Linked DNA regions of Canis lupus familiaris. The main gene of each other region encodes a partner of the protein of the gene in region 2 in a complex. Links are inferred from orthologs where the notes say so. Each region holds a gene or a part of one and is shown on either strand. Other genes may lie near its edges. The genes, in order: CACNB2, CACNA1S, STAC2, CACNG1, CACNB1, CACNB3 and STAC3.

The links.
Region 1: CACNA1S (region 2) and CACNB2 share a complex: the UniProt entries of both Homo sapiens proteins name them as parts of the calcium channel complex. The link is inferred for Canis lupus familiaris from reciprocal best matches to the Homo sapiens genes CACNA1S and CACNB2.
Region 3: the proteins of CACNA1S (region 2) and STAC2 are in contact, whole or in part, in a crystal structure (PDB 6B27), measured with the Homo sapiens proteins. The link is inferred for Canis lupus familiaris from reciprocal best matches to the Homo sapiens genes CACNA1S and STAC2. Residues at the interface, in NP_000060.2 of Homo sapiens: Glu749, Pro750, Glu751, Ile752, Pro753, Ser755, Pro756, Arg757, Pro758; in NP_945344.1 of Homo sapiens: Tyr301, Lys302, Phe303, Gln306, Glu307, Asp310, Asn326, Asp328, Trp329, Phe340, Pro342, Asn344, Phe345.
Region 4: CACNA1S (region 2) and CACNG1 share a complex: the UniProt entries of both Homo sapiens proteins name them as parts of the calcium channel complex. The link is inferred for Canis lupus familiaris from reciprocal best matches to the Homo sapiens genes CACNA1S and CACNG1.
Region 5: CACNA1S (region 2) and CACNB1 share a complex: the UniProt entries of both Homo sapiens proteins name them as parts of the calcium channel complex. The link is inferred for Canis lupus familiaris from reciprocal best matches to the Homo sapiens genes CACNA1S and CACNB1.
Region 6: CACNA1S (region 2) and CACNB3 share a complex: the UniProt entries of both Homo sapiens proteins name them as parts of the calcium channel complex. The link is inferred for Canis lupus familiaris from reciprocal best matches to the Homo sapiens genes CACNA1S and CACNB3.
Region 7: CACNA1S (region 2) and STAC3 share a complex: the UniProt entries of both Homo sapiens proteins name them as parts of the calcium channel complex. The link is inferred for Canis lupus familiaris from reciprocal best matches to the Homo sapiens genes CACNA1S and STAC3.

Annotation. Positions count from the first base shown.
Region 1 is NC_049223.1:17,855,169-17,859,126, reverse strand, and holds the start of CACNB2 (voltage-dependent L-type calcium channel subunit beta-2), read left to right. Parts: upstream 1-1,158; 5' UTR 1,159-1,189; coding exon 1,190-1,318; intron 1,319-1,658; exon of another isoform or gene 1,659-1,673; coding exon of another isoform or gene 1,674-1,709; intron 1,710-3,958. UniProt on the Homo sapiens protein: Beta subunit of voltage-dependent calcium channels which contributes to the function of the calcium channel by increasing peak calcium current. Plays a role in shifting voltage dependencies of activation and inactivation of the channel.
Region 2 is NC_049228.1:1,869,784-1,874,048, reverse strand, and holds the start of CACNA1S (voltage-dependent L-type calcium channel subunit alpha-1S), read right to left. Parts: upstream 2,801-4,265; 5' UTR 2,708-2,800; coding exon 2,556-2,707; intron 980-2,555; coding exon 874-979; intron 1-873. UniProt on the Homo sapiens protein: Pore-forming, alpha-1S subunit of the voltage-gated calcium channel that gives rise to L-type calcium currents in skeletal muscle.
Region 3 is NC_049230.1:23,115,706-23,118,816, reverse strand, and holds the end of STAC2 (SH3 and cysteine-rich domain-containing protein 2), read right to left. Parts: intron 2,981-3,111; exon of another isoform or gene 2,880-2,980; intron 2,821-2,879; coding exon 2,683-2,820; intron 2,119-2,682; coding exon 2,014-2,118; 3' UTR 501-2,013; downstream 1-500. UniProt on the Homo sapiens protein: Plays a redundant role in promoting the expression of calcium channel CACNA1S at the cell membrane, and thereby contributes to increased channel activity. Slows down the inactivation rate of the calcium channel CACNA1C.
Region 4 is NC_049230.1:13,485,543-13,489,778, reverse strand, and holds the start of CACNG1 (voltage-dependent calcium channel gamma-1 subunit), read right to left. Parts: upstream 2,801-4,236; 5' UTR 2,635-2,800; coding exon 2,400-2,634; intron 1-2,399. UniProt on the Homo sapiens protein: Regulatory subunit of the voltage-gated calcium channel that gives rise to L-type calcium currents in skeletal muscle. Regulates channel inactivation kinetics.
Region 5 is NC_049230.1:23,137,233-23,140,732, reverse strand, and holds part of CACNB1 (voltage-dependent L-type calcium channel subunit beta-1), read right to left. Parts: intron 2,760-3,500; coding exon 2,637-2,759; intron 2,100-2,636; coding exon 1,963-2,099; intron 1,745-1,962; coding exon 1,668-1,744; intron 1,258-1,667; coding exon 1,103-1,257; intron 297-1,102; coding exon of another isoform or gene 277-296; intron 4-276; coding exon 1-3. UniProt on the Homo sapiens protein: Regulatory subunit of L-type calcium channels. Regulates the activity of L-type calcium channels that contain CACNA1A as pore-forming subunit.
Region 6 is NC_049248.1:40,934,182-40,938,443, reverse strand, and holds the start of CACNB3 (voltage-dependent L-type calcium channel subunit beta-3), read right to left. Parts: upstream 2,801-4,262; 5' UTR 2,688-2,800; coding exon 2,643-2,687; intron 1-2,642. UniProt on the Homo sapiens protein: Regulatory subunit of the voltage-gated calcium channel that gives rise to L-type calcium currents. Increases CACNA1B peak calcium current and shifts the voltage dependencies of channel activation and inactivation.
Region 7 is NC_049231.1:1,726,197-1,728,673, reverse strand, and holds part of STAC3 (SH3 and cysteine-rich domain-containing protein 3), read left to right. Parts: intron 1-231; exon of another isoform or gene 232-446; intron 447-689; coding exon 690-787; intron 788-2,282; coding exon 2,283-2,349; intron 2,350-2,477. UniProt on the Homo sapiens protein: Required for normal excitation-contraction coupling in skeletal muscle and for normal muscle contraction in response to membrane depolarization. Required for normal Ca(2+) release from the sarcplasmic reticulum, which ultimately leads to muscle contraction.

The DNA.
Region 1 (3,958 bases), on a different chromosome or scaffold from region 2:
GAGTCTCACGTCGGGCTCCCTGCATGGAGCCTGCTTCTGCCTCTGCCTATGTCTCTGCCTCTCTCTCTCTCCTCTCTGTGTTTCTCATGAATAAATAAATAAAATCTTAAAAAAAATTATATACCATGGCAAAATAGAAAAGGGAGGTGAAACCTAGAGGAGTAAACTTGTGTATGCACGTTTCAGCACCCAACCCCGCAGAGGCTGTACTGTTACAGAACAATACCGATGCCTGGAAGGCTCGCTGGAACCAGACGCATCCTCCCTCTACCGGGCAACGAGCCTCGGCCGGAGTATCCACACGGAGTGCTGTTGCAGCGACAAGTTGTTGCTACATGCACTACACCCTCTTTACCAGGAATTCAAGGTAGTAGAGAGGTGCTTATTTTGTCCCAAACGTGATAGCAAGACTCGTCTACTTTGCAGGAAAAAAAAAAAAAAAAAAAAAAAGTAGAGGAAAGCAGGGCTGCTTGGCAGAGGGAAGACACACAGGGGTCGGGAAGGGAACCTCGGGGCTGGGGCTGGGGCTGGGGCTGGGGGGGCGGGGCCTGCAGCTGGCGGTGGAGGCGGCGGCGGGCTCGGGCGGGACCGCGCCCCCCGGGTCGCCGGGGTCGCCGGGGTCGCGCGGGCCGGGTCGGCTGGGCCGCCCGCCGCCGCCCGAGGCCTCCGCCGCAGCCCGGGAGCCCGCGCCATCCGCGCTCCGGGCCGCGAGGCGGCTTCCCGGGCGCCAGGCCTCGCTCTCGCGGCTTTGAAAAGTTTCCAGCGCGCGTGCCACGGCGGCGGGCGGCGGCTGGGCCGGAGCCCACGCGGCCCGCGCCCCCCGCGGGGAACTTCGCGGCGCTCGGCCGCCCTGTCACTCTCGCTTTCCGACGCGCCTCCCCCCGGGCTCGCGCGCCCCGAGCCCCCGCCCCCGCCCCCCGCCCCTCCCGCGGGGACCTTCCCGGGCGCCCGCCGCTCGCGTCCCCGCCGCCCCGCGCTCCGCCCGCCCCGCCCCGCCCCGCCCCGCGCCCCCCGCGCCCGCGCCCGCGCCCCGCGCCCCGCGCCTCGCCTCCCAAGCCCGCCCGGCGGCGTCCCGCGCCCGGAGAGCGGCCCCCGGAGCGGGCAGCGGGGCGCGGGGGGCGGGGAGCGGAGGGGAGGAGGGGACCCGCCGCCAGGGGCCGGCTGCTAGCTTCCAGCCGACTTTTCGCCAATGGTCCAGAGCGACATGTCCAAGTCGCCTCCCACAGCGGCGGCGGCGGCGGCGGCGGCGGCGCAGGAGATCCCGATGGAGCTGCTGGAGAGCGCGGCGCCCGCGGGGGCGCTCGGAGCGGCCGCACAGGTAGCCGGGGCCGCGCCTGCTCCTTCTTTGTGAGCCGCGGGGGCGCCGACCCCCTCCCCCTCCCCCTCCCCCCTTCTCCTCCGCTGCGATCCCTCGCCTCGCCTCGCCTCGCCTCGCCTGGTGCCCCCGACCCCACCTCGCCCGCGGCCGCCCACTCTCCTCTCCCCGCGCCGGGGACCCTGCCCTCGTCGCCGGTCCCCCCGCTCTCCTGCGGCTTCCATCTTTCTCCGCTTCCGAAAAGCAAGTGGGAAGGGGCGGGGGAGACCCGCCGGGGCTCAGAGGCGGCCCCCGGGAGGGCGCCCGCTCAGCCCCCCCCCCCCCCTCGCCCCTTCCCGGGAGAGGCACATGGAGAGACATGAACCAGGCGAGCGGACTGGACCTGCTCAGGATCGTGAGTCGGGGCGGGCGGGAGGGGCTCGGCGCGCACGCCCACCCTGGGGGCGAGTGGGAGCCGGGCTGGGCGGGGGGCGCCACCCTGCGCCGCGGCCCGCACCCCCGCCCTCCGCACCTGGGCGTCCCGCCGCCTGGACGGCCGCGCTGCCCTCGCCTCTCGCCGCCGCTCGCCTGCGCCCCTCGCTCCTCGCCCTGCAGCCCGCGAGCCGGGGGCGCCAAAGTTTGTCCGTGCCCCCCCCCCCCCCCCGCCCCGGAGCGCTGGCCAGGTCCAGACAGCTCGGGACCACCTTCCCGGCGACGGGTGCTAGCGGGTTCGCGGCTCCTGGTGAAACAGGAGATGCCGGTCTAGGCGTTGGGCGATGATAAGGTGGCGGCTTTTACGTAAGGCTTTGGCAGGTACAGTTTGGATTACAGACGCCTCCAGGTCTCCGCGGTAAGGAGCCTCTCAACTTTTATCCTGGCAGGGCAAGGACTCCAGACTCCCGGCTGCGGGGCTGCGGGGCGAGGGCTGGGAAGAAAGAGGTTAGGGCTCTATTGCAAGCATCATTTTGGAAAAAAAAAAAAATCTCTCTCCTTTGCGATATGGGCTTGTTGATTTCATACCTGTATTTGCTGGATTGTAAATGGGGGTGGTTACGTATTTCTGTATTTACAAAAAAAAAAAAAAACCTTATAAATGTGTTATTTTATATTTATATATGCTCAACAGATAGCGGAGTATTTGCTGTAGCAATGGGTGCGAGAGTAGGATTCCCTAATAAAGGTTGCCAATATCTTGTTGCCTTTCTTGTTTTGGTAGGGGATGGAAATGGACTGCTCCAGATATTTTGATACTGTTAATAATAATGGTCATTCCAGCGGCATAATCATGGAGCTTTAGTGAGTTTTTTTTTTTTTTTTGACCACTGGGAAATAACCTTGCTAACTTAAAATACATAATTCACTTTGATTTGAGATGGAGGAAAAATGTAGAAACCAACAAGTTGTGTAATCAGAAACCCATTTCTTTCAGTAGGACAGTTAGATTTTAGTCGGCCTTGGGCTGTTTGGCTGCTGAGCCAGAGGGAGGACATGTAACTAACCACCTACATTTCCATCTAGTTTCTGCCAGGGGACCTGAATTCTTACCAGCACATGTCACGTTTGTTCTAGACTCCTGATTTTATCTAGACACTTAATCAGGTTAGATGAGAGGAGAAATGTACTTAGAGAACTCAGTTATTCCAGGATGAAGGTCTTGACTTTTGATAGAAGAAAAGACTTTGAGACCCTTTTTTTTCCCCCTTTGATCTTCCTTCCTTTGGGGATTTTTTTGTTTTTTTAAATTTTTATTCTTCTGATAAAAACAGTTCCTGAATTCCTGGTGATCAAAGTTAAGCCGACAGAAAGTGTGACTGCAATTAGATAAGTAAATACTTCATTCACGTAGTGATTTATGTCATTAAATGCAAACCAACAAATATTTGTTGTTAACTGCAGTGTGGAAATGATTCAGATGTGAGGAGACAGCGCTGCTGCCTTCAAAGAACTGATATTCCGGTGGCTGCAAGTGTGACAGACAAATGACAGTTGTGTGGTAGAGGACTATAGGGGAAGTACTGGTTTCTGGGGAGTAAAGATCACAGACATTCTATACGGAGTAATCTCTAAGGGCTTCGTGGAAGAGGGGGCTTTCGAGAAAAGATTCCAAGGATGGGTGAGATTTGATCCGAGATTGTCAGAGAGATGGTGGAAGCCATATAGGAAGCAAAGTCACGGAAGTTGTAAGTCTTCTATTTATCACGTGTAGCTTGAAGAGGGTGTGGAAAGGTACGGATAGGGCATAGTTAGATGTAAGACCGACAAAACAATTTGAGGCCACATCTTGGAGGCGTTGGAACCTGGGTGTAATGAATGATCGGGAACCACGAAAGGGGTTCAACCAAAGAGTTATGTAACAGCTCATTCAGAAGATTCACCTGGGAATGTTCTGGAAGGTATTTTAGAGTTTCAGGAGTGCAGAGGTGGAGCTGCCAGACGGGAGATTGGTATAGCAGTTTGGACAAGAGATAACAAGGCCTAAACTAAAGGGAGAGGCAAGATAATGGATATGACAGGCCCGTGCATGGGACACTTCAAAGACTCAATGGACGGGAACTGGCAAGTGAGTGCATAAATACACGAGAGACAGGAAAAGGGGAGGAAAGGCTATTATAAGCAGGTTAGAGGTATAAATATTCAGCTGCACCCGCATCCATCTCCTTGCTT
Region 2 (4,265 bases):
CACCGTGTTGGCAACGGCCGTCACGAGGGCAAGTCCTAAAGTCAGAGAGGCCTGAGTCGGAGACCCTCTTGCAGGACTTGCATGGGGGGAGGGGGTGACCCTGGGCAAAGTACTCAAACTCTCTGAGCCTCAGTTTCCTTCTCTTTTACACGGATTTAATGGTGTTGCCTCCCGGGGGTAGTTATGAGGATTAAGTAAGACAATAACGTAAAATATTTAGCACAGAACCTGGCGCCTCAGAAACGGTCACCGTGTTTACCAGGATCTAGCTGCTGGGTTGGGTCAGCGCTTCGCCTGCGTGGGGCTCAGGCTCCTCATCCGGAAACCAGCGAGGCGGGGAGGGGATGGGACCACGTGATCCCGGGGGATCCCTTCCAGGCCTGGCATTTTGTGGTCTGTGTCCCCGTTGTTGGTGATGGGCCGCGGAGAGCGAGGCACAGAGAGCGAGGCACAGAGCTCTAAAACACGCGCTCTCTGGGAATTCCTAGATCCCACTCTCCCAGGAGGCCAGTTCCTTCTGGACCGTGTCCAGGAAAGGGAAAGCAGCAGTCCGCCTCCCTCGCTCGGTAGCTGACCTTACAAGCCTTGCTTCCCGCATGTCAGATGGCGCCGCTCTACGGGGTGGCACTTTCTGAGCTCAGTCTCATAGGTGCTTAGCACAGTGCCCGGGCCCAGTCTCATAGGTGCTTAGCACGGTGCCTGGGCCCAGTCAGACGGAATCCAGAATTAGCCAGTTTACCTTGCAGAGCTGAGGAGTCGCTCGGCCAGCCCTGCAAGTGAGTGGGAAGCTCCGGTACTACCACCAGCAAGCAGCCCCCCAAGGGGGCCTCCCCCGGCCTGGGGCTGCAGGCCCGCACGAGGCACCTATCTTACCAGGCCAAGGTTGAGAGTGTTGTTGTCGTCTTCCGGCATGGGCAGGTACACAGCCAGAGCCACGCAGTTGGCAAAGATGGTGAGCAAGATGATTGTCTCGAAGGGTCTAGTGTCAGGGTCAAGGAGAGCCCTCGAGTGAGGCGTGGGGTTGGGACAGGCAGGGGTTGGCACCGTACACACCGGGGGCCCACGCTGCTCCTCCCCGCTCCCCTGTGGGGTCTCCCCAGGAACAGCTAACTTGGCTCGGCGGTGATGGGAGTGTGAAGCTCGGGTCCCGGCTCGGGGCTGCTCAGCTGTAGGGGCCCTGAGGTCTCACTGGTCCAGGCCCTGCCCATCCCCAGCCCTGCCCTGGGGGCCCTGACTTTCTGAGACTCTCACCAGACGACTTGGGGGACTCACTCAGAGAAATGGCAAGGGATGCGGGGGGCTGAGCATCCGCGGGAACAGGACCGGGAAAGGGTAAGCTGTGGGTGGAGCCTGAACCCCCCCAGCCCAAGGAACGAATGCGTGTGAGGCAATGAGTCAGCCGCCCACCCTGCCCCTCCCCAGCCGTGCTCACAGGCCGGGGTGTGCACCGCACACCTGCACACGCCTCCCTCCCAGGCACACGTGCCCCTCACAGTCGCTCCCCAGGGCCACCCCCGGGCCCTGTCCCTTGTGGGTGAGCAGTGTCCATGCATCCATGGGCCGAGCCATTGGATGGCGGGTGGTGGGGACAGGCTGCGGGGTGGGAGGCACATTGTGCAGAAGGTCTGGGCTTGTACCCCTTCCTCTTCCTCCCAGTGATTGCGAAGAGCTGGGCCGCAGGGCAGAGGCCTGCGGAGGAGAAGGTGCAGAGGAGCAGAGCACGGAGAAGCCACCCGGGGAAACCCGATCCCACAGGCCCGAGGGAGGCAGCGGTGCAGCTGTGGGGAACAGGGCTGACTCTGACCCCAGCTATTCCAATGGGTCCCCTGGTTTTCTCATCCTCCCAGTGATCCCGTATTCCCCTTTCTTCTAGGGAACAGCTGGTGGGAGCCCAGTCTTCCAGAACCCTAGAGAAATATTTCAAATATTCCTGACCTCTCTCTGAGAAGACGCTTGACACAGCCCCTCCCCCTAATCGCCTTCCTCCCTTCCCCAAATAACCCAGATATTTTCATCCTTCTTCCTCTCAGAGCTAGTGCAAACGGAGAAAGGGACTGCTAGTGCCTGTCCCCAGGGTGGTATGTGTGGGCGAAGACCGCCCGGCGTCTGGGCCCGCGCCCTCCCAGAGCCCGTCACAGCAGCCCTTTGTCCCAGGCCTTGTCTCCCTGGACTCCATCCCCAGCTGGACTCCCCTCACTCACTGGCAAGCTCTGCCCTCACACCCTCCCGTCAAGGGGGACAGTTGTCTTGCAGAGGCCCCTGCCTCTTTCTCTCCCCTCCTGTATCAAAAGGAGACTCTTGCCTCAGACCCCTCGGTGGAGCCCCCCGGTAATGGGATTTGGGGACACCTGCGGACCCCCCTCCGTGACACATCGGGCCCCTTCTGCAGGCCTCGGGCCCAGCACTCTCAGGCCTCAGTGGCTCCGCTCCTCCCGCTGTCCCTGTCCCCCTCAGCCGCAGCCTTCCTTACTGAGCAGCCCCCTGGCCCCCCAGCTCGGTGATCCGTGACCCTGCCCCCTCCCTGTCCCTGATGCCCTGCGGGTCCTGAAGGATACTTCCATTCCACAATGTTGATGCAGGCCTTCCTCAGGGGGTTCTGCAGGGTCAAGCAGAACAGGGCCCGGGGCGGCCTCGGCAGGATCTCCGGAACCGGCTTCTTGGGCTGTTTCTTCCTCAGGCCCTCGTCCTGGGGCGAGGACGGCTCCATGGCTCCCCTGGCAGTCCCGCTGCCCTCGCCTCCCTGCGTCCCCAGTGCCCCCGCCGTGGGGACTGGGCCAGTGGGGCCAAGTGAGCCCTGCTGAGCCAGCCCGGGGGCGGGGGCAGGAGGATTACTGTCCCTGCTCCCAGCAAGTAAAATTAGCCTCCGCTGGCTCCCCGCTGCTGGCTCCCTGCTGCCTGCCTGACTCTGAGGCCAGGCAGCTGTCATTCCCTCCCAGCCGGGCCAGTGACAGCCCAGCATGTCCCTGAGGACGTTGGTAGGGGGTGGCGGAAGGAACGTCCCCATGGGCCTGGGATGGGGGCAGTGGGAGACAGGACGGGAGGCTTCAAGCCTGGGGCCACAGAGAGTTCAGGAAGGGGGTGGCATCAAACTGCAGACGGGCTCCCCTGTGCCAAGACTCGCTGCCCCCGCTCCCTGGCCCCATGACACCCCCCCGAGAAGGTGCTGGGTGGCCTCGTTCAGCACCCTACCCCACAGCCCCATCCGTCCCCCAACCTGTGGCTGGCTACCAGGCCAGACACCCCCCACCCATGCCCACCGCACGGCAGGGAAAGCTAACCCCTCCTCAGAAGAATCTTGAACGAGCGCACTTCAGGCCCGGCACCCGCCACACGGCGCAGCGACCGTGTGCCTTGTACCCTGTCTCAGCCCCTGCAGCGCCTAACAGGACAGGGGCGGCGGCTTGACCCGGGACTGCGGCCCTCCCCGCCCCGCTGGGTGCACGACACTTTCCATAAAGGTCAGTGGGACGCAGAGCTAACAGCGCCCCACAGCCTCAGCAAGGGCCTGAGCTGTGGGTGGGAGTCCCCAGGGGCATCGGGGGAGTGAGGTAGATGACATCTGGGATCACAAAACTCAGCAAATCTTTTATTTAGCCTCTTGATACAAACAGTGCCGCATGGTCCCACCGCCCACAGAGGGGACACAGTCTGAGGGGAGACACGCAGTCCTCGAGCGACCGGGAGGGAAAAAGGATGAAAAGTCTACATGGGGGTGGGGGTGGGATGGGGGGCTAGGGGTGGCGGTGGGCGATCGCCCCCATCAGGAAAGCCAGAGGCACCACCCAGGCACACACATGGCCTCTCCCCCGGTCAGAGCTGGGCTGAGCGCAGGCAGCAGCCTGGCCTCTTGCCTCGACGGGGTGTCTGGGCTCCTCGGGGGCGGGGGCTGGCGGCGAGCAAGCTCCCAGGGCCCACTCTAGTTAGTATCTGAGGCCATCTCAGGCCATTTGGGGCCATCTCGGGGACAGCAAGGGCCTGGCTCATCCAAACCAAAGACCTCTGGCCTCCCGAGGGAGTCGCAGACGCGGGGCTGCACCTGACTGCGGGGCTGCACCTGCGATGGGGCTGCACCTGCGGTGGGGCTGCACCTGCGGCGGGCTGCACTTGCAGTGGGGCTGCACCTGCTACGACGCTGCACCCACTATGGCGCTGCACCCGCTGCGGGGCTGCACCTGCTGTGGGGCTGCACCTGCTGCGGGGCTGCACCTGCGGCGCCCGAGGTGGGAGGTTGGAGGTGGGCGAGGGCCCCCCTGATCTCCCCCGCC
Region 3 (3,111 bases), on a different chromosome or scaffold from region 2:
GACGGCCGTGATTGAGTCATCTCAGGGCCCCACTGGCGGCGACTGTCCCCGCCGCCAGCCTTTCTGCCTGCGGCTTGGCGGGTGGCGGGGGCGAGGCTGATCTCGGGTGGTCTTGGAGGGCACCCTGGGTGGGCAGAGCTGTGTGGATGCGCATAGTTGGGTGCCTGGCCCCTGCCGACGCAGATGTGCCTCGAGCCACAATGTGACCGCGGTGGTACCCTCTCCCCTTCCAGCGTCTGGCGACATCCCACTCCACCACACCCCTGCCAAGCTTTTCTTTTAAACTCCTCCCCAGATCCCCATCTCAGGCTGCTGAGGTGGGAGGGAGTGGGGAAGGCAAGGGGACCCCTGCGAGTGTGGGCCAACCCCAGCACCCCTCCCCTCAGAGATCCACAAATTCTTCCCCCTCCAAGCTAGTCTCCTTTTGGCACCTCCAGCCCCCGCCCCACTCCTTGCACCTTTCCATCCTCTCTCCCAAGCAGACACACAGAGCACACAGATTGGGACAAGAAACATTTATTTAAGGGTCTGGGGGCTCAGCAATGCCCCAGCAGACCCATCATGCAGCCTCATGTACAGTGGGCATCGGGCCCGCCCCTGGGATATTGCTGGGGGGGGCCTCATGGCAGCAAACAGGGCAGTGTGGCTTGAGCCCCCCTCCGAGGGGGGAGAAGTGGAGCAGGGGCTAGTGGGTATGGGAGGGTGTGACTGTGCCCAGGGTGGGGGCTGGCATTGGCTGGCACGATCAAGGGCACAAGAGGAGGCTCTGAGCTTGGGAGGGGAGAGGGAGGTTGGCACCAGAGAAAAACAACCTGTAAGGGAGGGGTCCTCTTTGTGTGCGCCCCCCCCCCTCCAGGGTGCCTACCCCCTCCTTTCCTGGTGGTCAAACAGAACTGTTGGCCTGCCTTAACCATCTCGCACTCCCTCTTCCTCCCAGGACTCTCTGTCCAGGATAAGGGTGCAGATTCGGTCAGAAGGGTCCCCTGCACTGAAGGAGGGGTCCCAGTGCTTCCTGCAAAGCCCAGAGGGAGAGGGCGAGGAAGAGCAGTGGCCTGGTCAGCCTTGAGGCAGGACTCCTGGGGTGGGCCTTGTGATACCCAGGACAGGAGGCAGCACAGGCTCCCCTGGGTGGCCAGCCCTGCCTCCTGCCACCAGGGACTTCTAGAGTCCTGACAGTGAAATGAGGGTTCTAAGCATAGGCTAGTTTTTTGTTCTCAGTCAGGTTTCTGGGTGCAAGTCATTCTGGAGTGTCCCTCTCCAGTGGATAAGGGTACCATGAGGCTGCTCTGTGGTGACTGTTCTCCTTGAAGAGACGGTCTCTGATCTACCACACTTTCCCCAGAACTCGGCCCTCCCCTCCTTTGTCCGCCCGTGGTTTCAAGTAATGGGAGAGATTCCCACAGAACTTTCCTGAGAATTGATGGAGTGACAGAGGTGGTGAAACCAGCAGGTGGACTCAGGATCCTCCTGCAGTCCTAAATCCCCTCCCACCGCCCCTGAACCCCCGGGGCGGAGGACTGAGGCACTCGGCCCCACTTCCTTCCAAAGGGACAGCCGCAGGGTCACACGCACATAGACCCAAGCAGGGGCTCCGCGGGGAGAGGGCAGTGGTGTCAGGCATGCAAAGGTGGTGTGGACATGGGAAGTGGGAAGGCCCTCTGGACAAAGCAGCAGGAGAGTTCCCCAGGAACACCCCCCTGCCCAGGGCTGCACTCAGCAAGGCAACTGGGGAGTGGGGTCTGGGCAGTGGCTGGACCTACCTGGAGCTTCCCTGTTCCCTCCCACTGTCCCCTCCTCCCTCACCCCTAAGTCCAGGGGAGCAAGCCCCTCGGGGTACCTTGGGACCCCAAAAATAAAACCTTCCTCCGTGCAGAAGGCTCCCAAGTCATGGGGAGTGGCCCCTAGGAGAGGTGGAGGGAGGAAGAGTGTGGGCAGATGCCTGTTCCTGTTCCCGGGGCCAGAAGCAAGGGCCAGGCATGGGCAGGGGTGGCAGCTGGGTTCTCTGGGCAACGCTCAGATCTCGGTCAGGGCGTCGGCTGGCACCAGGCCCCGCTTCTTGCCGCTGCTGACGCGAATGAAGCCGTCAGCATCCTTGCTCCTGCCCACGCCCACACAGATCTGAGTGGGAGAGATGCGAGCTGAGTCCTGGCTCTGCCTACAGCCCTGGCCCTGAGTCCTGCTGAGGGCTCCCAGGGGGCCACCCCAGGGGATGACGGGACCAGGAGCAGATGAAATTGGAGACATCAGCTGGGGGGAAGGGAGTAGATCCTATCAGGGTACTGGGCACGGTGGCAAGATCAGTAGACCCGGAGCAGCACTCTGGGGCTGACCTTTGAGACCAGCTGGCCTAACGCCCCGGCCAAACACCCATGTCACAGGGGAGGTTAAGGGGAGGAAAAGGGCTTATCGGGGGTTTACACAAGCCAGAGGCACAGCCAACATTCAAACCCAAGCCTCCGGACTCCTAATCTAGTGCTCTTCCCCTCCCCCAGGCTGTGTCTAACCAAATTCAGCCCCAATTCCCAGGGGGGGATGAGAGGGGGGCCCTGCAGTCCACCTCTCTGACCTGCCTTCCCTCCTGCTGTCAGGCTACAAGTGTCCTCCTCCAGGGCATTCACCTGTGCCCCTGCTGCCTCTCTCCCTCACCCACCTCTCCGGCTGCTGCAGGGCCCAGGCACTCACCTGGTTCTCCTTGAGGCTCATGTACCCCTGTTCCTTGTTCCCAGAGAAGGGCTGGCAGCAGCGCCAAACGTTCTCACCTGGCCTTACTCGCTGCACAAAATTGGCTGGGAAGAAGCCAACCCGGTCGCCAATCTTGCCCTGGGGATGAGGCTGGCAATGAGCACCAGTGCCACCCCCTCCCACGTTGCTTCTTCTAGACTTGATGCCCATTCTGAGCCAATGCCATCAAACACCAGATCCTGGACTTCCTGTATCCGAACCCCCAGTAAGGTGGCTTCTGCACTCAGAAGGGCATGAGGTGAGCAGAGGGACAGGCTGAGGCAGGGAGGGTCCAAGGGAGAGCAAGTCCCAAGTGCTGGTCCTAGGCTTGGCTAGGGCCCAAGGCTGAAGGAGGGGAGGTCTTTGGGCCTGGAGAGAAGGTGAGGCAGT
Region 4 (4,236 bases), on a different chromosome or scaffold from region 2:
TTGTTTTTGCCAAATGCCCCCTGAGAAAAAGACTGTTTCCACTGAGTGAGCTCAGCATCAGGTCAAATAAAGACAACCTTACAAGTGGGGACTTCCAGGGAACCACCAGGCAGATCAAATAATGACAGTTCTCTGGGAATGAGGCTTTGAATGAGATCCAGCCCCATCTGTCCCCTTTGGGGGCTAAATTTACACTGTTTGCAGGCTATTGGTTTTCAAGGCTCTAATAGACTTGGGGAGTGGGGAACAGAAATAGAGCAAGTTAAAGCACCACAAAACTCACCATTCTGACTCAGATTCACCTGTTTTTCTTGAATAAGCACTCACTGGATTGCTGCAAGATTCGTTAGTGTCCAGGGTTCTGAAAAGGTTTGTTCTGACCGTGTTTTGCTAGAGTTCTCATTGTCTTTATGGAGAAGACATTTAGGGGGATTCTTACCCTGCCATTTCTTCTGATGTCATTCAAAGTTAAAAGATGGGAGGCACTGAAAACAATATTTGGCAGATTTGTGTTTGCGGTCCCTATTACTGCTATTAATAATAAGCGAGAGAACATGTATGCACTCTCTTCCTCCCTCTAGAAAAAAGTAACCCCACAGAGCACAGGAAAGGTGGGTGGGGAAGGTGTCCATCTGCAGAGAAAGGAGAGGGGAGATTGCTGGCACATACTTCAGAAGCTTGTCAAGGGTAGGGCTGGGCTCACAAGCGTGGGAGGTATGATTCACTCTGGAGCGGGGCAAGAAGGCGTAGAGATAGACTCTGGTCAGGGTCAGGACCAAACCATGCCTGTCGGGCCTGTGCAGCTAACCTCTTGCTAGTTTGTCCCTTCCTTGTATGGACTTGCCTCGCCTCCTTGCTCATCTGCTCTATAAACTCAGCAGACTTTAAAAGGTGGGTGCCTCTGAGGACAGGTGGACGGGACCATGGCAGGGCACTCCCATGCGTGGTCCGTGGAGAATCTGCCTCCCCCTGCCCTGCCCCACCCATGGGAATTGGCTGGATGATGCATCTGTTTACGGCTGTGCTGGGCCGGGGCTGAAGGAGCGCGGACATGTGAGCTACGTGATACCCTTCAAGCACATGTCCACGTCTGTTAAAGCCCTCGGCCCGGGGACGCAGTGTTTCTAAGACAGCTGGGTATTTACGAGTCTTCTGTGTGTCCAGGGGGAATGAGCGAGGCAGGGGTTTTCTAGAGCCAGCAGGAGGGAAAAGAGGAGGAAAAGGAGAAGTAGAGGAATGGGGTTTGGGCTCCTTTGTCCCATGCACAGACTGCAAGATCTCTGGGGACTTAGCCCTGACTTCCTTGAAAGTTCAAGGAACTGGGTTCAAGGAACACCCAGTCTGATAACAGAGGGAATAATTCTGCAAGGCAGGTGGGTCCCTGTACTCGCCTTGGCCCACTGTCACCTTACGGTGCCATTTGTAAAGGCTGAAAGGGGCTTTGCAGAGCCCGAACACTGTATTTTACAGGGGGAAGCAGAGGCCGCAATGGGCATGGTGGACCCCAGAGTCATTGGAGTGTCGTGGGCAATGCACGCAGAGCCCAGTCCTCTGGTTCTCCACGCAGGGCTCTTTCCCCAGCGTGTGCTCTGTTCGCTATGAGTGTGGAGGGCTCCGCATTTGTAGCATAGACTGGTCACCCTAATACCACCCTGATCCTTCACGAGGAGCTCACCTCGGATGTGCGGTTCGGTCACAGGGTAGGAAAATTGGGGAACGCACTGAAATCAGAGCAGGAGGACACGCATCCCAGCTCCGAGGGGTCTGAGCTAAGAGAGGATGTGCAGGTGTGACAGTTCTGACAAAAGGCGGGAGGCTCGTCTACGACCGGGCCCTGCTTTACAGATGTGTGGCTTCTGCGGTCAACCAAGGCCCTGCACACAGAAGGGACCCACACTCGGCTCCGTGCGTCACTGTTACCATCTCGAAATCCTTAAAAATATTCACAAAGAGCCCTGCGTTTTCATTTTGCGCTATGCTGTGCAAATCTGGTGGCTGACCCTGGGGAGTGACCGTGCCAGCCGCACATGTCCCTGCAGCCTGAGGACTTAGGGCCACTGAACCTGTCTGTGCAGGGAGAAAGGAAAGCGGGGTCACCCAGAAGGGTGGCCACTGCGGGGGCCAGGGCCTCAGGCCTGTTAGGCCCAGGTGGGTAGCCCCCTGCTCAGGGTGAAGGCCGGGAGCCTCTGCGGGACAGAAAGAGGGACAGGCGCCCTGGCTTTACAAGCGGCCCTGGCCAGTAGGACAGAGGCCGTTCGGATCCTCTTCCCTGGGCACCGAGGCTGGGCACGATCTCTGCTCTGAGGCAGGGAAACCTGCCCTCTTTCCCAGCGGCACCTTTTCCAGGGGCAGGAAGCAGGGCAGGAGGCAGGGATGGGGTCAGAGGGTGGGTACGTTACCCCCAGGCAGGGTGATGGGTCCGCACGTCTTGTCCTTGCTGTCAGTCATGACAATGCGCTTGGTGCAAATCCGCCAGAGGCCGAAGTGGGCCGCCTCGCAGGTGGCATTGTGGTGCTTCACCTCGGGGCTCAGCACGGCCCAGTGGTCGGTCACCACGGCCACCAAGGCCAGCACGATGCCCACCAGGATGCAGAAGAGGGTCGCGCGGACCTTCGGCGCTTTGGTCTGGGACATGGTGGTGGCGGAGGAGTGGGTGCCCTGGGCACAGTCTGGTGGCAGTGTGTCCCGCGCAGGTGGCAGCCAGGCTGGGGAGGTGGCGGTGATTATCGAGCTGGGGGTGGAAGCTAAGTTTAGTGCGTCCGGCTGAGCCAGAGTGGGCTGGCCTCGGGGCTGAGGGACACCAGACGGGGCTGAGCAGCTGCCCAGACGTGTCAGGGGCCTGAGGGAGGCTTCTATTAATGCACATCCCAGGCGTGTCACCGAGGATAGCTTCTCCTCGGGTTTCAGGACTTTCTTTCCCTCCTGAGACCTAAAATACCTCAAGGAGGGGCAGGGAGAGAAGGCTCTAGATGGTGACTTGGGATCTCCACGATTAGCAGCTCAGGATACCTGAGTTGGAGGCAGTGAGGGATAGGCCACAGGGATACTAGATGTGTGGGAATGTGCTTGCTCTGGGCTGCAGGAGGAGGCGATACAGCTGGGTGACGGCAGGGGACCCTGCGGGACACAGGTACCACAGCCCAGCTCCCACACTGGGCAGGCCGGTCACCAGTGCAAAGGGGTGTGAGTGGGTCCTTGTCCTGGGGGTCTGGGGAATGCAGGAGCCTGCGTGGGGACATCTTGGGGCTCCTCCACCAGAACCACCAGGGGCCCACCTCCCTGGCTTTAGCCTCAAGTCCTAGCACAACCCTAAACTGCGGGAAGATTCCTGGTGGTTCCTGGGCCTGGCATTACCCAGCACTGTGCCTGGCGTGGGAATGCTTTTTCCTTTTCAATTCTCCTCCCACCCCTTCAACTGGGTCCAGAAGGAAAGGAAGTCTTTAGCTAACCTTTCTGATGCTTGCGAATCAAAGACTAGCTTGGAGAGGACAAGGAATCTAGCTGGACCTGACTGTCGTTCTGTTTTTATTTTACTGTTTGAGTTTTACTTCTATTAACGTTTCGCCAGTTCTGTTTTCATTTACAAAATAAATATATTTAAGTTAAAAACAACAGAAGTGGGTTGGTCGGCAGGGAACTGTGAAGAGGCTGATGGTGTGTGGACACAGCAGAGGACAGAGGACAGTTTGGGATGGCCCCCAGAGAGTCCTGCGAGCCCGTATGTCCCCCACCCCAGGCTCGAGCCCCTGGATCCCTCCTGGGTTCTGCATCTCTCTCTCTCTTTCTTTTTAAGATTTTATTTATTCATGAGAGACACAAAGAGAGAAGCAGAGACATAGGCAGAGGGAGAAGCAGGCTCCACGCAGGGAGCCTGATGTAGGACTCGATCCCAGGACCCTGAGATCATGACCTGAGACGAAGGAAGATGCTTAACAGACTGAGCCACCCAGGCGCCCCTCTGCATCTCTTCTTTATCAATTGACCAGTTGCCTCTTCTAGGGTCTATCCAAGAGGCTAGTGTGTGGCCAAGAATAGACCCCTGAGCTGGGCAGGGTTTTGACTTCAAAATCCCAGCCTCAGGCTGACACAGCTCACAGAAATACTCTGCCTGTGGGCGGAGAAGCACTCAGGCGTCCAGCCTTGGAGTCACAGACTGTTAATAATAACGATAATCATAGGAACCGCGCATCTTGTGTATCTATTGTATATCACGTGTTGTGGTAAACCTTTCCACAT
Region 5 (3,500 bases), on a different chromosome or scaffold from region 2:
TGTCTGAGGGGGAAGCAGGGAGGGGAAACCCCAGAGTGGAGATGGCATTAGCTCCTCTTCTGCAGCCTCCAGGCTCCCCCATGCACCCTTTCCTCCCTTGTTCCCAGAGCCCAGATGTGGGGGTCGAGGTCAGGGTGGGGAGGGATGGCCAAGGAGAACCAGGAAGGGTGAGGGAAGTGGGGGATGGGTGGGGAGGGCACAAGAATGGGTGTTAGAAGGTCCCACTAGCTCATCCCAGGGGGTGCAGAGGGGGACACAGAAAGCTGTGATACTCACCGACTTCTGCTTCTGTTTGGCTGGGTCCAGAGATTGCCAAGAGTGGGGAGGCAGGGGAGAGAGGGAAGGGCACCCAGGCAGGGGCAGAGGGCAAGGAAGGAGCCAGGACAAGAGAGGGAGGGAGAGCGGACGGACGAGGAGAGATAACAGGGCATGCGTGTTAGTGACAGACAGAGCCAGAGAGAAGGGACGGGACCCCATGCCAAGGGGGAGCCAGAGATGGCCCTAGACCAGGCCTGGGAGAAGGACTGTCAGTCCAGTGAACTTGGGACTATTTGGACATACCCTTCCCCTTTCTGGGTCTTGAGAAAGATCTGAGTAGGGTGACAGCCCCTAATTTGGTGCCCATCTCCTGCCCCTAGTGCAGTCCAACCTGTTGGTTTGAAGGGCTCCTTACACTGTCCTACAGTGCAGCCAGTAGACCCCATGCCCACCCTAGCCCCATGGAGTCCAAGAAGGACAAAGAAGGGTCTCCATTCCACTCTTCCCATCATAGGCAGGAGTGGAGGGCAAACATGGATTATCTCAGCTTCATCATCACCAGACCCTGCTTCCAGGGGTGGTGGGGTAAGGGGGTATGACCTTCCAAGGGAAGGGGTGCTTCGATTGCAAGAAACATCCCTTCCTGGGGGTGGGCCAGAGCACGGCTGTGTGCGGAGCTGGATGTGCCCATTCTTACCATTCCACCCTCCCCGCTCCTTGGCAGGAGGCCCTACTCCCCATGGAATCTGGCCGGTACCGCATCCGAATCCTTTCCAGCCCCTCCCCCTGCCAAAAAGCTGGGCCCTGACCCTCTGCCCTCTTGCCAGAGCCCAGCAAGAATTACCTTCTTGAAGAAGGGGATGCGTTTGCCATGGGGTGGCGGGGTGGTGACACTGCTAACACTAGTCTTGGCAGAGCCGCTCTGCTCCCCGAGCTCTGCCTCCTCGTCGTCTAGCTCTAGGGGGTCTAGTTCAAAGGCTAAGTTAGTCATCTCATTACCTGGACCGCAGTCAGGAGAGAGGAGGGAGGCGAGGTGGGGAGGAGTGGGATGGACATGGAGACACAAGTACAGAAGGCAGGGATGGGATGGGGGAAAAAGAAAGAAGAAGAGGTGAATGGAACAGAGCCAGGAGAAATGAATGGGGGTGGGGCAGGGGAGTCAGGCAGAGAGATGGAGCTACCAAAGAAACGGGAAGGAGAGACATGAGAGAATGGGCGCTGACAGGCCCAGCTTGTGGGGTATCCTACTCTTCACGGAGGGGGTACCGCTGGATGTGTTTGAAGGACTCAGGACTGGGGTGCCCCCTACTGCAGGGAAAGGAGGGGACAGGCAGTGGGGAGACGACCCCACCCAGGAGCCACCCCCCCACCCCCACCCCACGGTTCCCTAAGGTGGCAGCAGCTCTTACCACTGGCAGGGGGTGTGGGGCGGCGGGTGCCAGTCACCACGTCTCCTAGGCTGGAGCTGGAGTTGTCACCTGATTTGCTGTGTGGGCAGAGAGGCAAATGGAGCTGTGAGCAGAGGGGTGGGCGTGAGGTGGGGGAAGCCTGTTCTCTCACTTGCTGCCTGCCCCCCACTCTCCTGGAAATTCTCCAGCCCCACTGGTGACATCACAGGAGGCTGGGCCCTCAGGGCAACGAACGGGTCAATCCTTGAGGCCCAGTCCCAACTAGATGGTCTGTCGGCGTTCCCCAGCTAGACACCTGGAGCTGAGGCGATTCTGACGCAGCTTCTGTTCCTGCAGGAGGCGCAGGCTGTCCAGCTTGACAGGGCTGGGGATGAAGCCAACCTCACAGCCCTCCTTCACCAGTCGCCCAATCCACCAGTCATTATTATATTTCTGCAAACAGCAATAGCAGGTGAGGTGGAAGAGAGCAAGAGAGAGGTTGGAGGGGCAAGCCAGCAGCCGCCCTTGGGAGAAACCACCAGGGACCTGCCAAGCTGCCCAGGGGGTGGCACCTTCAAAGAGCCAGCCCCTGGCACAGCCCCCAGTTCTCAGAACAACTTCATGACCTGAGTTCTCTTGGGCCATGGACCACCCCAGCCCCAGCACATCCCTGTCCCACCATGCACCCACCCTCCTCTGGAAAGATAGCAAGAGGAAAGGAAGCTGACACCCACATATGCCCACACACTGCCGCTCCACTGACACATCTCATCACAAACCCTCTCAACAACCGTGTGACCTAGGCATTGCCACCGCATTTACCAACGCAAATCAGAGAGGCTCAGGGAGGTAGAGATTTGTCTAAGGTCATACAGCAGATTCAGCCAAGCTCTGTTGGGTTCAGAAGTCTTTTTCCACTAGAGCTCTGGCTGTCCCTCTCCTGATGCCCACTACCCTGCCCTCCTTCCAGATATGAAGCGCTCACTCCACCTCTTTGATGTGCAGAAAGTCCTTGGGCTCAAAGGTGATGGCCACTCCCTGCACTGGCACTTCATCCCCTGGAGATGGGTTGTAGCCGACATTTGTCCGCACAGCAAATGCCACCGGCTTGGTCTAGAGGTGAACAGGGAGAATGACAACCAGAGGGTTAAGTCAAGATGTACCATCCTGGGGTAAGGATGATGTGAAGGTTTGTTTTGTTGATCATTAACAAGTATACTGAATGATTTAAGTAGTTTTCCTGTATGTGCATTAAATTTTACAATAAAAAACAATAGAGGGGATCCCTGGGTGGCGCAGCGGTTTGGCGCCTGCCTTTGGCCCAGGGCGCGATCCTGGAGACCCGGGATCGAGTCCCACGTCAGGCTCCCGGTGCATGGAGCCTGCTTCTCCCTCTGCCTGTGTCTCTGCCTCTCTCTCTCTCTTTGTGACTATCATAAATAAATAAAATTAAAAAAAATAAAAATAAAATAAAATAAAATAAAAAACAATAGAATTCAGCCTTCTCAAGATGGAGGGGGCCACTGAGGATGGTAAGTATTAGCCTGGAGTAACACCCAGAAAGAATATTAGTAATAATAATAATAATAATAATGACAGCAGAGCGTCTGGGTGGCTCAGTCAGTTAAGTGCTGCCTTTGACTCAGGTCATGATCCCAGGGTCCTGGGTTCAAGCCTCATTTTGGGGTTCCCTGCTCAGTGGGGAGTCTGCTTCTCCCTCTCCCCCTGCTCATGCTCTCTCTCTCTCTTGCTATGTCTCAAATAAATATAATCTTAAAAAAAAAATAACAGCAGCTATGGTTTACTGTGCTAAGTACCATGTGACATATTTTACAAACATTACCTCATTTATTT
Region 6 (4,262 bases), on a different chromosome or scaffold from region 2:
ACTCTGCGGGAGACGCACAAATGAGCAAGGGAAGCTGGACCTCAGGACGGGAGGGTAGAAGTCAGGATGCCTTGGGGAAAGGGAATCTTTTGTTTTCTGCCTCAGTTTCCCCCTTATGATCAGAAGCCTGAAGAGGTACCTCCATCAGTTCTGAGGTGCAGGCGGCAGAGAGAAGATCGGAGTCTAGATGAGGGGTCCACGTGGGAGTGTGTTGTGCGTGTAGGGAAGGGGTTTTAGAATATCCTCCGACTGAGGAACATTCCTTCCAGCTCACCGTGCATGACCACTCACAGAAGGCAGCTGAAGCCAGACTCGCAGTAGGGAACACAAGCTCACGTATCCCAGGCCCTCTGCCCCAGCCCCACCGTCAGCAGGAGCGCTGGTCAGCTTGATGCTAACCCTGGGGCCTGGAGCCTAAGCTAAAGACAGTGTCTGTGGTAGATGGAAGGCATGAAGGTAGCACAAAGGGGGGAAAGTCTTTCGTTTTACAGAGGAGTAGAGTCAGCCCGCTAGTCCCCATCTCTCCTGAGAACAAAGTAAGGCTGGCTTGACAGCAGGGTCAAGAGCCGCTGAGCCCTGGGAAGAACCTCTGGACTGTCAGTGGAGCGGGGGACCTCCTTTCAGGGGTCGGAGCCATGGCAGATGGCTGTCTGAAGTGAACAGGGGCCAAGGGGAAGGAGGCAAGAGAAGACGGGATGACCACTCAAGTTGATAAATACCTACCAGATGCCTCCTAGATGTCCAGGCCTATGCCTGAGGAGGGGTCTGACCTTCACCCTCTGCTCCACGGGCTCTCCGTCTAATTTAGTAATCTTAATGTCCCTGCCTGGGGCGTCTGGGTCACCTGGCCTCTCACCTCAGGACGGAAATGACAGGATCTCCCCCTAAAGGTTTAATGGGTTGTGCTCGGAATGGAACCCCCTCTCCATTATCCCCAAGTCCCCAGAGCTCAGCCATCTCTCATGCTCTGGTATCACCTGGGAGGCCAGGGCTGCCCTGCCAAGTGCGCTCTGGGGTCTTGCCTCCCTCACCCCCTGTTATGCCAAAACAGCCAGAGGCTCAGTACTTCTGGAGCTGCCAGGAGTTGGCACAGTGCCCTGGTGGTGCCCCCCTTGCCTGGTGAGTGTGTGGGCAGGCTGCAGCTCCACTCTTGCCTGGCACGGGGGAAGGAGAGGAGGGAGATGAGCCGGTGGATTTATTTAGAGCCTGATCTCCCTCCTACTGCTTCAGAGGGGGCCTCAGGGAGAGCAAGGAGCCAGGCAAGAGAAAGGGAAGTGGGGGAGGGTGATCCAGGAACCAGTGAGGGGTCGGGAGCCGAGGAGGGGGCAGCAGGCTGCCCCGGCACCATCCCCATGTCAGTCTTTACCTTGCAACAGCCCTCGCCTTCTCACCGGGGATGGGAAGAACATTCTAGGGCCCTCCCATCCCCTCAGAGAGGCTCATTCTCAAGCTCACCTTGGCACCCTGGGCCGTGCCAGCTGTCCCTTCAACTGTCAGAAAGAGGTGTCCACCAGAGCCTTGCAAATCATCTGCTCTAGCTGCAATGTAATTAGCCCCAGAGGCCCAATGGGGAATTGGGCCCAGCAGGAGCCCAGTCCCAGAAAAGGACGGAGAGCCGCCCACTCGGAACCCCAGAACTCCTGTACCCTGGGCTTGGCAAGAGTCTGAAGAAAACGCAAATACTCCCCTTTTGACCAGAGCGCTCTACCCTCCACACCTATCAGGGAGCCTTCCAGGCCACCTAGTGGTCCTCTCCAGAGGAGGCCTTCATGCAGGATGTTTGAGACAAGGGACGGAGAAGCTGCTCCCCATCCTTGCCCCATCTTTCCAGGCACTTTCCCTGCTCTCTGAGCTCCGGGAATCACTGCCTAATGAGCTGATTTGTCTCAGTGGGTCAGGAGATAAAAGCAAAGAGGAGAATTAAATATTTATCAGTTGCCTGGTTCTGGGAGGCAGCGCTTCCTCTCCATCCCCAGGCCCTGGGCCCTCCATGCTGAGCAGGAGCTCGAGCCCACTGCTCTGAGGATGCCTGGGCAGGAGGCGTGGAACGCATGGGGCTTAGTCAGCTGGCCCATGTGCTGGGTGCCCAGCTTCCAGCCTGCCAGAGGAGCTGGGCCAGGCAGGGCGAGGACGCGAGGCAGTGCTCGGGCAACCGAGGGAATAATGGAGGTCCCCAAGTTTATGATCCTCCTGGGGCTGGTTCCTGACTGAATTGTCCTTTACTTGAAGCACAGGAGGTCTGAGCTGTCGCCCCCCTGGAGAGAGACAGAGAGCCCGGCCTCTCGGTAGCTGCTGGGTTCGGCCCGGCCAGCCCCCTTGGGGACCTCGGGGCGCTGCGCCGGCCTCCCGCGGCCTCCCGCCCTCAGTCCTCCCTCCACCCCTCGGTCCTGGGCGCCCGAGCCACCTGCTTGCGCCTTGCCCCCCTCGCTCCCCCCGCCGGGCACACTCCCCGTGCCCCTTGCTCTCGGACTGGGGCCCTGGCAAGCCCTCGGCAGGAAGATCGCCCCCCCACTCTCCTAGGAGCGCCCCCCTGCACGCCCTGCCCCTGCACTGGGGCGTTTTTCGGAGTCCTGACCCGGGGAAGGGTCCGAGGCAGAAGAGGAGTCACCCCAACTCCCCCCCCCCCGACCGTGGGCACTCACCGCCTCCGAGTCCTCAAACCCGGGCACGTAGGAGTCGTCATACATGGGGGAGTCCGGGCGGGGGGAGCGCGCGGCGCCGGGGCGGGAGCAGCCCGAGCAGGGGCGAGGACAGCGGGCCGCGCCCGAGGTGCCACCGAGCCCCGCAGCCCTGCGGGCGGCGGCGGAGCGAGAGCGCGAAGGAGGGAGCGAGCGGCGAAGACCAGCTGCTCGGAGCTCCGCTCGCCGCTCCCCTCCCCACCCCCCGAGCCCTGCCGGTCCCACCCCGAGCGCGGCTGAGGAATCTGGCTCCGGCTCCCACAACAATAGTGCCCGCCCACCTGACCCCTCCCCGGAGCGCGCGGCGGGGGCGCGGGGGCCGCGGGGGGCGCCGCGGAGCCCGCGGCCGGCGGGGCGAGGGGCCGGCGGCGGCCGGGGGAGGTGGGTCCCCGGGCACCTACGGGGCACCGGGGCGGCGGGGAGGAAGGGGAGGAGAGACTGCGGGCGGGGCGGACCCAGGCTCGGAGGAGGCGGGGCGAGGAGGGATGCGGAGACGGGGACGCTCGGCAACCCAGGAAATACTCCGCCGGGAAACAAAGGGCTGGCGCGGGGGAGGGGAGCAGGGGAGGGGGCGCCCGCGCGGGGGACGCGGGGGGCGCAGGTGGCGGGAGGCGGCGGGCGGAGGAGGACGGGTCGAGGCCGGGGGAGGGAGGGGGAGACAGGAAACCGGGGAGACCGGGGGAGCGCGGGGGCGGGGGACGGGCGGCGGACTGGGGAGGGGCCCCAGGTGACCGGGCGGCCGGCCTGGGCCCTGGCGGCCCCGAGACTCCGAGGGCACACCCCGCGATGGCACTGGGGACGGACGGGCTTGGCGACCCCAGGCCACTGCCGTGAAAGTGGCCCCGGCCCGGACAGGTGCTCGGCCCCCTCCTTGCTGGGACCCTGCAGCCAAGGACCAGGTCGCCCACCCCGCGCAAAGGGCGAGGCTTTGGGTCCCGCCGCCCCACACCTGTTGCGCGAGCAGATTCCCTCCTAGTCTGGCCAGGATGGGGGTTCCCTTCCTCCCTTCCTCGCCAAGGACTGTGCCAGGCATTGCCAAGGCATCCGTGGGAACTGGGGGAGGGAGGGGCTGTTTTAGGGGAGCCTGAAGGAGGAGGGAAGAACCCGGAGGGTGGAGGTAGGGGGACTGTGGGAGCCGTGACAGAAGGTGGGACCCCGGCCGCCCTGGGGTTAGGAGGGGGAAGGAAGGGCAAGACGACCCAATCACTAGTGTCAGGCCAGATTCCCTCCTTAGAGAAAGGATGGGGGTGGGGTGCCCGGATCCTGGTTGGAGCCTCAGTACCGCGCTGTACCAGTCAGTCTCCTTCCAGGGAGCACTGAGATGTGGGGTTAGAGACCGAGCAGCAGCCCTTATCTGGAATAAACTTCCCCAAAGATCCACCCATTTGAGCTCCCTCCTTTCTTCCATCTCCTGAGCAACACTGTTCCTTTGAATGTTGATTACCCACCTGCCGCACTCCCCCGCCAGAGGAGGAGGTGAGACAGAAAGAGGGTTCCACTTGGAGCCCCTCTGAGCTCAGGCCTTCCCCACTCCCAGTTTCTCACACCCAGGAGAGTGAATCGGGAATCTGCTCCTCATCGCTT
Region 7 (2,477 bases), on a different chromosome or scaffold from region 2:
AAAGCCAAGACTGAAACCTTCATCTGCCTAGCTTCAAACTCTGGGCTCTTCATATGTAAAACTATGTCTAAGTAAGAACAAGGATTCTTGACTGTCCTCATCCTTGTGACAGAGTAATACCAGTCTCAGGGCTAGACCAAGAGCTGTGGGCATCCTGGGCAGATTCATAATTTGGCAACCCTTACAAACATATTCGTTGACAATTTTACTCAACATTTATTTGGAGGAGAGGCTGATCTTTATGAGGAGCATGGGTGGAAAAAAGAAGAACCCACTGGTGGCAGCACTCCAGCTTGCACATGCCACTCAGCAGAAAAGCCAGCAGTTAAAGGACCACTCTCCTTAAAAGGAGAATAGTGATTGTGAGCATTCCCCAACTCCCAAGCAACTTATTAGCAAAGTTGTCTTTCCAACATCATATAATGCTCTGCCTGGAAGGAGTGCTGGTAAGTATTTTTCTCCATCACATTACATTCCCAGTGATGTTTTTATAGCTCTTTATAGATTGATGACCTAGATATGCCCAGCTGACCCCACCCTAATCCTACACACACACACACACACACACACACACACACACGTATCCGTCTACTTAATCCCACCTCTCCCTTACTTAGAAGGTCTCTCTTTCCTTCAAGTCTTTCTCTGCTTCCCCAGTAATGGCTTCTTTCTTCTCCCATTCCCACTAGCTGCGGCCAGTCACAATGATCCTGTGTTTGAAACCTTGCGCACTGGGGTGATCATGGCAAACAAGGAACGGAAGAAAGGACAGGCAGATAAGAAAAATGTGAGCACCATACCTTCCTCTTGAGGTCCCTCCAAGAGATTCCGCAGAGCAGGTCCTGTCTCCTCTCTGGAAAGCTGACAGAAGCTAGGGATTCTCTTCCCCTAAAATTGCACATAACCCAACAAATTTTTGCATGCAATTTTAGAGAGCCTTGGGTTGAGAATTCCTGCCATAGCATGTGTTTTCTCTAGAAACTCCCTTCTGGAATTGTCAGATTAAGCACCATAACCTACTGAAGGTTAGGTCCCCAGGCTCCTGGCATTGCTAGACAACAGAGGCAAGAGCCATGCTTTTGGATTTGGGGAAGCAAACCTATCATGCCAAGCAATCAATTCTAGAGCCATGAAGGGTCCATGAATATCATCTGAACTTACTCACTTATCCTATAGATGAGGAAACTGAAGCATTAGGCTAGCACCCAAAAGCAACTTCATTTCCTTTCGTAATAGGGTTACTAGTTTGGTGATGCCATAGACTTGCATTCAGTTTGGCAAAGAATTTGTTAGCATATCCTTATATCTTTCTGGAAAACCAGGATGGACTGATGTGGATAACAGTTAGTTGGAGTCCTAAAATTGGATGAATGACTATGCCCAAAGAATCCAGGTCCTTTAGAGAGTGCCTAGCTAAAGGGAGATTTCTGATACCTTATAACATGAGTTGGTCCTCAGTACTGATCTATAGAGATTTTTCTCATTGATACAAATGAATATATAAATAGTATTATCCCTTAAGTCTGTGAGAAACCTAGGAGGGGAAACTTATACACTGAATAGTATATTCAAATATTTTGAGACTAGAAGAAAAGCTCAAAAACAATAATTTGAAGTTTTGTAAGGAAAATGAACATGTCTGCTCTTGGATCAAAGAAATCAACTGTACAAAAACTGTAGGAATTGGCTTCTGAGTAGTTGATATGGAAGTTGGGTACAAATTAGCGATTTCTGTAGAATGAACTAAGACTTACAAGGCCCTAGCAATGTGATTTGACTGCTTTCAGAAAGGCAAGCACACTCAGGTTCTCTTCTCTTAAGGGAATTATAAAAACCATGCTGCCCATTTTTCTCTTACACACTGGAGTATTTTTAAGAGCAGACATAGTAAAAATCCTAGAATCGGCATCATGGAGGAGGGGATGATTTAAAGGGACTATGTTCTCTGTTGCTCCAGAGGCCAAATCAGGACTGATGACTAAACGTTACAGGGAGACTGAATAGGTTAAATTTAGGGAATTGCCCTCAAATTGCATGAGCTTACTTTGTAAGGTAGTGAGCTCCTGTCATTAGCTGCATTCAAGCACAATGTGGATGGTCCACCTGCCAGGATGTTTTACAGGAAGCTCAGGCATTAAGCTGGTGGTTGAACTGGGTATTTCCTCCAAGGCTCCTTCCAATCCTGAGATCCTATTATTCTATAGTTGGCTGGCCTGGCTGGAGAGCCAGGGCAAGCATGGGTTCCCAGGAGAGCATCTTCCTAACTCTTGTACCCCCTCCAGCCTCTAGCAGCCGTGATGGAAGAGGAGCCAGAGCCTGCCAGACCAGAGGAAGGCAAACCCCAGGATGGTGAGTGTCACCCACCTCCATCCCTAGAAATGGAGTAGGATCAGGGGCTCTGCTCTGGTACAGGGAATGGAGGGCCAAAGGGTATGCCAGTGTTTGAAGATAAAAGTGGCTCTGCAACAGAAGAGTAA